Danio rerio: one gene and its partners. The protein of the gene in region 2 interacts with the protein of the main gene of each other region in a pairwise test. Links are inferred from orthologs where the notes say so. Each region holds a gene or a part of one and is shown on either strand. Other genes may lie near its edges.

What was found. The genes of interacting proteins can lie anywhere in the genome.
Region 1: the proteins of si:dkeyp-20g2.1 (region 2) and mid2 interact in binary tests that used the Homo sapiens proteins (3 or more experiments, as listed by UniProt). The link is inferred for Danio rerio from reciprocal best matches to the Homo sapiens genes CCHCR1 and MID2.
Region 3: the proteins of si:dkeyp-20g2.1 (region 2) and dtnbb interact in binary tests that used the Homo sapiens proteins (3 or more experiments, as listed by UniProt). The link is inferred for Danio rerio from reciprocal best matches to the Homo sapiens genes CCHCR1 and DTNB.

What each region holds. Positions count from the first base shown.
Region 1 is NC_133189.1:32,705,099-32,708,756, reverse strand, and holds part of mid2 (probable E3 ubiquitin-protein ligase MID2), read right to left. Parts: intron 643-3,658; coding exon 240-642; 3' UTR 1-239. UniProt on the Homo sapiens protein: E3 ubiquitin ligase that plays a role in microtubule stabilization. Mediates the 'Lys-48'-linked polyubiquitination of LRRK2 to drive its localization to microtubules and its proteasomal degradation in neurons.
Region 2 is NC_133180.1:24,162,039-24,166,125, forward strand, and holds the start of si:dkeyp-20g2.1 (coiled-coil alpha-helical rod protein 1), read right to left. Parts: upstream 2,814-4,087; 5' UTR 2,647-2,813; coding exon 2,583-2,646; intron 1-2,582. UniProt on the Homo sapiens protein: May be a regulator of keratinocyte proliferation or differentiation.
Region 3 is NC_133192.1:38,942,139-38,945,796, forward strand, and holds part of dtnbb (dystrobrevin, beta b), read right to left. Parts: intron 830-3,658; coding exon 670-829; intron 1-669.

The sequences.
Region 1 (3,658 bases), on a different chromosome or scaffold from region 2:
CTAAAAAGTGCTTTTAGGGATACATTAGAACTGACAAAAAAAGCAAACTGACGTTAAGTCTTAAATAATTTACAATTTAACTTCCCCCAAATCAGCTGTTAAAATCGGAGAGCTCATAATACACGCACAAACCGCTCATTTATGTAATCAACTAAAGCTCCAACTTCACCCAAGATCTGAACACTAGGAAAAGAAGAAGAGCAAGGGAACCTTCTGGAATAATCAGCTCCTTGGGTGCCTTAGTGGCAGCTCTTTATTCCAGAAACATAGGGTGACTCCTGTTGGCGGCAGATGCCCTCTTGCTGCTCGCTGCAGTCCACAAAGTCAGGCACCGGCAGCCCTGACATGATCATCAATGACTTGTTCCAGATCATGAAGGTGGGAGCCACCGGAAGCAGGAAGGAAACGTCAAAAGTGTATATGTGCTGGGAGTTCATGGCATCATAGAAGGACAGAGTGTTGTTGTCGTAGTCCAGAAGAACTCCCACCCTGCGCAGCTGTAGTGACGCTTCCACAATGGACTCCTTGTTGTTGTGCCGCACCAAGAAGTTATTGTTGCAGCGTGAGAAAACCCAAGATGATGAGTTTTTACCACTCCACTCGTTTTTGGGTGCTGACTTATAGGCCACACCAAGAGCGTACCTGAAGGGGAAACAGATGAACAACACTGTTAATGGATACTGGGGCATCATGCTATAGGTATCTTGGCTCTTTTTAGTGTCTTAACACAGAATTTACACCAGGAGTATACAATCCTGCTTATGGAATACATCTCTCCTGCAAATTGAGCTTCATCATCCTGCTTCTACACAACTGACTAGAAGTTTCTAGTAAGGCCAGAGATTGCTTTACTTTTGGGAGATAAGAGTTTTTATTACTTATCACCAAACAAAGTGTAAATGCCGACTTGGAGGTATATTAGGGAATATATAATGGTCTCTGATTTCATTCCTACACTTACATAAACGTTTCTAGAGGGACCAGAGATTGTCGTACTACTGAGAGAGAAAAGTCTGTATTCCTTAACTTTTGAAAAAAAAAAAAAAGATAATGGCTAACTTGGATCATGTGAGGGACCTTGGGCAATCATATAATGTCTTATTGCAGTGTTTCCCAACCCTGTTCCTGGAGGTACACAAGATGTCCAATCAACTTTTCTGACCCATTAATTTCAGGTTTTGGAATCTTCTAATGTTCTGATGAGCTAATTCACCCTCTTTGAATGTTATCATGTGATTGAATGGACTTTATCTGTGTAATATAAATGTAATGTGTGTATTTATATAGCACATTTGTCGTATATGGCCATATACCTAAAGCGCTTCACAAGCATGAGGAGGGTCTCTCCAAACCATCACCAGTGTACAGCATCCACTTGGATGATGCAACGGCAGCCACAGGACAATGGCGCCAAAGCGCTCACCACACACTAGCTATTGGTGGAGTGGATAGACAGTGATAGAGCTAATTTAGTGGCTGGGGATGATTGGGAGGCCATGATGGTAAAGACCGAGAGGAAATTTGGCCAGGACACAGAGGTTACACCCCTACGATTTACGAGAAGTGCCATGGGATTTTTAATGATCACAGAGAGTCAGGACCTCGTTTTATTGTCTCATCTGAAAGACGACACCCACTGACAGTATAGTGTCCCCTTCACTTTTACTGGGGCATTGTGACTCACACAGACTACAGGTTGAGCGCCCCCTGCTGACCTCACTAACACCCCTTTCAACAGCAACCCGCTTTTTCCATGTGGTCCTCCATCTGGGTACTGACCAGGCTCATCCCTGCTTAGCTTCAGTGAGTAACCGCTTGGGCTGCAGGGTGACATGGCTTTGGCGTGGTTATCAGCTGATAGCTATGGGGGGCCTTCTATGACTACTGGTAGGCTCAGAAGGCTGTTATCATCCATCCACATGACTAATAAGCTATACTAATAGAGAAGACTCCAGATCCAGATCTGATTTTACATTACTTTGACGGACATTACTTTGTCTACCACGAAGGTCGCAGTGTTAATATTAGTGATAATGCTGTTTGGGCTAAAGTTTGCAACATGCCTATTGCATAGGCCTTGGTGAGAGTGGAAACTTGATTAACTGGGTCAGGCAAGTTTAATTAGGATTGGATCTAAACTTTGCTGCAAAGTGTCTCTTATGTCCATTGTTGTTTTTGTATTTATGATCCTTTTATGTAGCACTGTGGTCCAGCGAGACACAACATTTTGTTCCTCTGTATGTCCACACATGTAGCAGAATGACAATAAAGCTTGACTTGACTTGAATTCTGTTCAGCTTTGTGACACACTAATACTCTTTTTCCAGCTGCTGAAAACTGTTTTCACTGGATTTGACAGAGAACAATTAAAATCAATGTATCCTTCATGGATTAGAATAGGATTGAATCTGAAAGCTATAGGTTGGCATCAGTTTATAGTTGAAGATTTTTGTATGTTGTATCACCTGTAATGTAGACCAAATATCTCATTATAATAGAATTTATTGACTGTTATTGAGTTGAGTCATACCACAGTTGTCAGGTGTGGTCATTATGCAAGCCAAGTGGACACTTGATGATTCTAGCCATGATTTTTTCATTTGAGACAGGTTAATCAAAATCTATTGTCTTTGGTCATTAGTTTGACATGTCTTACAATGACTGTCAAGCCAAGCATCAACAGGAGCACAGAACATGATGGCTCAATTAATGAAGCAACAATGAATTACCACTCACTCAATTATTTTTTGCCCAATATTAATGCTGGAGACACTTTTATTTGGGTTGCCACCTTTTCAGTTCTCTGTGTTTACCGTCAGTACAAGTTTCATGGATTGATGAAGTAAAACAATGGGGAATTGTTTGTGATTATGTCATTTTTTTAAATGAGTTTTGACTGTCACAAACTCTGGCAATAATGACTGACCACACAGAATGAATCGGGGGATTGGGGAGGGAGGTGGAACCCACCACCTGGTCTTCATAAAAAGAGGCTCGGATTCCTGGAATTGAACATGTAATCATTCTTAATAAACCAAGAGAAAATTTGAAGTAACCTGACAGCGATCAGAAGTGACATCCTGTAGACAAATAGCTTTTTCAGATAGCACAATTTTTAATAAATACAAATACTGAATATTAGAACAGAAAATACAAGCACAACAGTTGCACGATGTTCTTTGTGAAGCCAATCTGACTAAACTATGAATTTTAATAATGAATAAAAATGAGCAAAGTGTGTTGTTCAAATTGTATGGTCATAGTGGTAATATTCTAATCCACTATTTTACTCTGTGCTTGTCAACAGTGGTTTTAAATTAAGATACTGCATCACACATATTTACATTTTTTTGTGGATATGCTATATTACACTTGCAATACAGTATTTCTAAAGTGTGGAAGAAGTGGAGTTTCAGACTATTAAGAGTAATTTAAAGCATTTCTAAAACAAAATTGTTTATAAAATATTTAATTATTCTGTGTATTTCAAGTGTTGTACATCCATACACTCTCAAAAATAAAGGTACAGGAGCTGTCACTGGGGCAGTACCTTTCATACATTTGTACCCAAAGATTTCACAGTGGTAGCTCAATGAGGCTTATTAGTACCCAATTGTACCTAAAAAGTAACGCTTCAGGGACAAGTTTCTAACTTTTG
Region 2 (4,087 bases):
AAAAAAACATCCTGAAAATATGGCTGTATCCATTTGCTCCAGCTGATGCACTGGACTGTATTAGTTTAGAATACACCACAGATAAAATAAATGATGCCAGTAAGAAAACTGTACAATTTTGGTTAAATATGACTGTATGAGATATGTTTCAATTATGATTTTGTACCTATTATTACAGTATTATTGTCTTTATTTTATTTGAGCATTTTGTGGATCTCAGGCTTTGTTCAAAATAAAAAATGTTTAATAAAAAAAATAAAAACATAAAAAAAAGAATGTAAAAAAAAAATGAAAGCAATTTTCTGAAGATCACACAGTCGCTGAGCTACAGAAGGTGTGTGCCCCAAGGGCTTTAATGACAGATCGAGAACATACTTATTACAAATTCTACTTGCAGCAGCTTTGAAGTGCATCACATGCATATGGCTAAATTCTGAACCTCCATCATATAATGCTTGGATTCAAAAAGTGTGGGAACTGTATGAAATGGAGCAAATCACATATGCAATGCGACTTAAAAAATATATATTTTCCTAAAGAGATGGCCTCCTGTCATGCCTTTAATTCTTCAATAATGAGCCATACTGTTATGATCAAGGCCACTCCTTTCTTTCTCTACTACAACATCCATCTAATTGTCCCCCTTTTTTATTTAATTTCATTTATTTATTTATTTTTGTATTTTTGTATTTTTTGTCAATTAACTTTTTTATTTTGAACGTCTATACCCCACACAACGTAACATTCACAATACAAAATCAACATTCAGGAAAATAATGTAAACAAAATATAATAAAATAATAACATAAAACATAAATATTAAATATAAAATTATACAATAGACAGCCAAAATGACAACCCTTCAATTTTTCTAATACATGCTCTCTAAATACCGTAAAAAGCTACCCCACTTCTGATGAAAAGTATAGGTGGAGAGTGGAGACCTCGAGTCTTGCCAATATACAGTATGTTTATATGATACAGTAGAAGTCATCAGCTCAATCTAATCCTTAAAAGTGGGAGTATCTGAGTTCTTCCAATTTCACAGCACCATTCTCACAGCCATAATACATCCTGCAATGACTAGCCCTAATTTAGTATTATTATTATTTTATTTTTTTATTTTGTTCTCAACATGTCTTTACAACCATTTTGGCAGCTAGAAATTGGAGTAACATGCAAAATAAGAATTTCTTCATTTTCTTTTTGGCTTAGTACTTTTATTAATCAGGGGTTGAAACAGCGGAATAAACCGCCAACTTAACCAGCATATGTTTTACCCTTCCAGCTGCAACCCAACACTGGGAAACACTCATACACTCTTGCATTCACACATGTACACTACAGCCAACTTAGCTTATTCAATTTACCTATAGCGCCTGTCTTTGCACTGTGGGGGAAACCGAAGCACCCAGAGGGAACCCAGGTGAACACGGGGAGAACATGCAAATTCCACACAGAACCAGCAACCTTCTTTCTGTGAGGCGATCAGGCTAACCTACTGTGCCACCATGACACCACAAATTAATAATAACAATAATTTAAAATTGTATTGTACTCATTGCTTTGCAGTGTTGCATTCTTTATTAAAAATAAGTTCCAAAAAAGACACAACAGAACTTATTTAAAGTTGTTATCATTTCTAATCTGTTCAGATTTTATAACGGTATAGTTCCCTCCAAAAATTATTTACATTTTTTCTACTCACCCTGAATTATAAACAATTTCAAGTTTATTTCTCCTGTTGAACACTAAAGGTGTTATTTTAAAAAGGCTGAAAACTGTAACAATTGGCCTCTATAGTAGAAAAAAAAAATACTATGACAGTGAATGATTACTGGTTTTCAGCTTTCTTCAACGTATCTTCTGTTGTGTTCAACAGAAATAGGCAACTCAATCAGGTTTGAAGCAAGTGGAAAATGAATAAATGATGACAGAAATATATATATATATATATATATATATATATATATATATATATATATATATATATATATTTATTTATTTTTATTATTTTTTTTTTTACAATCCTTTTAAAGTTCACTTCAAGAGTTTAGATGCCAAAACCTCTAAGTTAAATGTTGCTAGCGCATTTTCCTCCAACTCGTGTGTAGGTTCAGAAATTTTACTTTTATAGTGACCAAAAAGTTATTTATATTGCCTTTAAAGCAAAATAACGCTCATTTTAGGAGAAAATTTCTTTTTTGCATCTGAACTCTTCACTTTAAGATGCTGAACAGCATGCATAGTACAAATAGTCAATGTAGTCTAGGAAATCAACTGAGACATGTAAACTACCACAACAATCATAAGTATTAATGTTATAATTGAATAACTGATTATCAAAATGCTGTTGGATTAATGTTAAACGGCTTTATCACACTTGCTGTCAATCCTAGACGTTTGTATCTTTGCAACCTTAACGTTAGTTGACATCAGACTAATACTGTGCTTCAACACTACAACCAGTAATATTATACACAAAGATAAGCGAGTGTTTTTTTTAAGAGCTCTAGTTGAGTCGTTTGTGTTTGTTTATTTGGTATATGGTGGCTTTTATTCGGTTAATTGTGTTGGTTTACCTGCTTCAGCAGCTTTCATAAAGTCCGCCGGCGCGTTCAGTCTTTCTGATCTCCGCATATCCATGATAACCACTGAAAGTCACACAAGCGGTCCTACATAAACGTGTAAAATGCTCGAATCCGATTCTTTGATGATTTTTTAGTCATTGTTTTGCAAAGTGCTCGTTCTCCCCGCCGTTGAGTTCAAAGCTGTGCGTGCAGTTGTCATGACAGGAGATTTCCGGTTGGTTTGAGGCACTACAGCGCCCCCTGCAGTCTTTGGCACATTCTACAAGAAACGTACATTTTCACTTATAAAAAAATTGACAGGGCCTGACTTAAGCTTGTCTTCCTCAAAAATAAATAAATAAAAAACCATACAAAACAAGCATAAAATCATACAATTCAATGATAGAGCGCATCCTTTCCTCCATCAAGTGAGTCATATGAAGGCACGCAAAATGTAATGCAAATGTGACTGACCAAAACATAGGGACAATTGTAAATGAATTTAAATTATATGTTTAGCATTTATTTGTAGAATTTATATATAATTTCATGTTTTCAATTAATTGATGTAAATGATAACAACTTCAACTTTGCTATTTCTGAAGAATATGTTTTTCTAAATCACTGTTTTTTGCATAACAAAATGATTAAAGCTGTAGGTTCAGTTGGACTGAGGAAAAGGACAATAACAGGGTTTGTAAGTTTGTAAAGGGTTTTTAATAAAGAACGAAAATCTGAAAACTAAATGAATGACACTGACTCCTTTGCAGAACAACTCACAGAAATCAACCATCGGTCCATTTTAGACATTTTGGGATGAAATACTTTTTTTATTCACTCTATTTATGTTTTATTTCAGGTACAGATAATGTGCGTTTCTGGTAGAATTTCCACTCTATATAATGCTAAATTCAGCTTAAAAGGATAGTTCACCCAAAAATTATTCCCATAAATTATTATTATCACTATTTACTCACCCACAAGTTGATCCAAGCCCTTGAAAGACAATTTAAAGAATGTTAGAAGTAAATAACAGGAATACTAATAGTATGGAAATAGTTACCGGTTTTCAACATTTTTCAAAATATCTTATTTTTTGTTCAACAAAATAAACTGTTACAAATAAGAGTAAAAAACAACATGATTTTTTAGTTTTTCCTGAACTAATCTTTTAACTGTTTTGATAAATGCACTTTTATAGTCCCGATAATCAGGGATGGCCAGAATTTATGATACAAGTATTTCAAATGCGTATTTCACATACAAAATAGTATTTAGTAATTTGTAATTGATGTGGTTTATAAAAATAGGTTAATATTATGTTTAATGTTGTGTATTTTTAAAACACTGTAAAATACTGATAGGAAGTCTAAATGATGACATCATAAAAACATGACCTTTAATATTTGTGTTTTCTCAGTTATTTGCCAAGACGAGACTAGAAAATTGATTAATTTGATCAATTGCTTGGAGAATGGATGGAAATGATGCAACAAGTATTAAGAAAATAACAAACA
Region 3 (3,658 bases), on a different chromosome or scaffold from region 2:
ATGTCTGCCAAGGTACATGGCAAACTAGTGACAGAGGAAATGCCGTCCACAAAGCTAAGCGATTAAATTAGTGTGAGAAAAAAAAACAGAAGCTATCAGCAGCATCACACCACCTCGTAGCGTTTGTTTTAAAGACGAAACACAGCTATATATAGCTCTGGCTACACAATTCGCACTCTCCAGAAATGTATATAGGGGAACGTTTTCACAATGAGCCTGTGTTGTATAAAAGTTTAAAAAATCTGCCATTTTAAACATCTCTATTTTAAACATATTCTAAACAATTCCCAGTAACCTTCTAAACTTAACAAACATCCCCTGAACATTTTTTTAATAATCTACCCCAACATCCTCTAAACATCTTTTGAAAATCTCTTAAATGTTCTTTATTTCTTCTCTATAAACCTTCTAAACATCCCCTAACTTAATTATATACTTTTATTTTTTTCTAAATATATCAAAACCACCACCTACATTTCTAATTATCTCCTAAACACCTCCTAAACACCTTCTTAAAATCTCCTAAAGTACTTTTATTATGTTCTAACATTCCCTAAATGTCTCGTTAACATCTTCAGTGTGTCTCCTTAATGTCTCCTAATATTATTTACCATGTCTCCAATTGTGTGGCTAATGATGTTTGTCAATGCAGAGCTTCATCCTGCTCACCCTGAGAGAAGGCATCCAGCACGTCGTCTCCAACCCCTGCCAGACAGTCCTGCGGCGTGTGTGTGGGGGTTGAGCCGGCCGAGGTGGAGCGGATGGGCATAGGCATGGTGCAGCTGGCACTGTGGCTGGGCGATGAGTGTGGCGAGGTCCCCGTCTGAGCCTGTAGAACAGGGATGAAAAAAAAGAATGCAAACATTACACAAGGTGTGCAATAACCTGAACATCCAGGGTTCCCTCGCTCCCTCAAAGACACTGCAGACAAGCCTATAGATTTCTGGTCGACATTGTTCCTAAAGATCGACAATCAGCCATTTAATTGCTTTACTCAACAGATCTTTACTCTAGTCTGCATTCAATTGAACAAATATAATAAATATTGAACTTTGTTTATTTCAAACTTGTGCAATTCTATTAGGCTTTCAACATTAAATTTATAGATTGTACAATTTTGTTTCAGAGTTTTATTTGCCAGTTATTTTCATAGTTTATGTGTACAGTTTTCACAAGACTTAATTTTAACCCAGGCTCATTGTGAAAACATATCCAATTTCTACATACATTTCAGGAGAGCGACAAATAAGTCCCAAGAGCTACGTTTTTTTGCAATTTTTGTTTTCACGAATTCACCAGGGGCTGCTGTGTATGTCTTTTGAGATCTCAACTATCTCTCACGGGTGCCATTCATGCCTGCTGTTCTCACGTGAATCCACCAGAGGTCGCTGTCAACTCACTGACTGAATGACTCACTGACTGACCCACCCTCCTCATTCCTCAAACCCAACCAATAGTATTTTCAAAAATACTGATTGGCCCGCCCATCCACTTCCCTAAACCCAACCGACAGTTTAAAAAAGCAATGCAGAAAAGCCCTTGCCTGATTTTTACCACGTTTTGAGATTTTATCACATTTTCACTCTGTTTACTTGTTTATTTTTTGCCTCTGTTTTTTTCTTACCTGCTTTCTGGAACCGTTCTTCGACAGACTCAAACCCAATCATCATTATCAGACGTACATGGTTGGTGAGCTAAATGGACAAACTGGTAACTACAGGAAAACCGTCCATATGGAGGTAAGCAGTCAGCTGGTAAGCGTGAAAAGGAACAGCATCATACCACCCCATAGCATTCGCTTTAAAGACAAAATGCAGCCTTACGTACTTCTGGCTACATAATTCGTAATCTCCAGAAACCTATATAGGACCACGTTTTCAGAATGAGCCCATGTTGCTTAATTGCATGCCTCATGTATACTTCTGCATCAAGTGATTACTGTACCCCACAGTCCATACTATTGCCAACGCTAACATGTAGACAACGCTTTTGTGAGCATTAATACATGTTACTTGTTACTTGCATTAATGCATTCTTTTTTGTTGCTCTGACAATAACACTTCTCGAACACTTGTAGACAGTAGGGTTTGCGCCAGAATACGTGCGATGCTACTCTGGAAGTAGCTCAATCTCACAGTCACAAAGCAAACATATCCATCAAGAGCTCCACTGGAGGACTCGACACTTGTTAACACTCACGCCACTGGCCTAGCTCCCACAACTCTTAGGCCTGCTCTACTCTCTTCACGGCTTCCAATGCCGACCAATCAGAAATCTTGTGCTTCATGTATCTGTGATGTTTAGTTACATCAGGGTAAATGCAAAGGGTATGTGTGACTATGCAGGACCAACCACGTTAAATCATATGCAGAAGTATATATTGGAGTTATAAAAAAAATAATGCACCTGCAAAAGCTCAGCATAAAAAGAAAATCCTATATACAGAAAGGGAATGCCGGTGTCTTCAGAAAAGTTCAAGTGATATTTTCTTTTCAAATAATCTCTGTCTAAAAGTGCACAAAGTAAACGCCATCAATAATGCAGATCTATAATTACCACTAGGGCTGCTCGATTTTGGGAAAAATCATAATCACGATTATTTTGGTCATAATTGTAATCACGATTATTCAAAACGATTACTGTTAAAGTAAAGAATTATTAGCGCTCCTTGGTATTTTTTTAAATAAATATTTCCAAAATGATGTTTAACAGAGCAAGGAATTTTAACACTATTTCCTCTAATATTTTTTCTTCTGGAGAAAGGCTTTTATTATTTTGGCTGGAATAAAAGGAGGTTTAAAAATTTTGAAACCCATTTTAAAGTCTATAATATTAGCCCCCTATAGCAATATATTTTTTGATTGCAGAAGAAACTGCTGTTATAAAATGACCTGTCTAATTACACTAATTAAGCCTTTAAATCGCACTTTGAATCTGAATGCTTGTATTTTGAAAAATTTCTAGTCAAATATTATGTGCTGTCATCATAGCAAAGATAAAAGAAATCAGTTATTAGAAATGAGTTATTAAAACTATTATGTTCAGAAATCTTCTGTCCATTAAACAGAAATTGTTGAGAAAAGGGCTGCTAATATTCTGGAGGGCTAATAATTTTGACTTGACTTCAACTGCATATATACAGTTATTTTCCTCCCTGCAAAGGAAAGAGAAATAAATACAATAGAATAAAAATATTAAACAAACTGTGCTTTGGGCATCTTAACTGTCAGAAAAACACTTTAGCTGCAGCAGTCCTTCAGTCAAGAGCAGAGAGGCATGTTCTCCGTTTATTGCTTGATTAATAATCATAAAAACAGACGGAAGAAGGATTATCGCGCAATGTAACTTTAATGGTTTCTCTTTCGCGTGTCTTTTGATTCTCAACTCGTTTGTTTATTGAGGTTAATATGAATAATCACCAAACACTGCATTTTGACACCTATTTGACCAGTAAAGCGCTCACGTTAAGATTAATCTAGATGTGACGCTCTGCTCGTCTCAGTGTGTGAGTAAGACAGAATGCTGACCGCATGCTTCTGTTGTGACTGTGTGTGTGCACCAGAATCATGTGGTCTTTAGCGTTTTTAAGAGCAACACGTGTACAACTGGAAAGGGGGTGGTTTATGATGCAATAATCATTTATCTCGATTAATGGTTT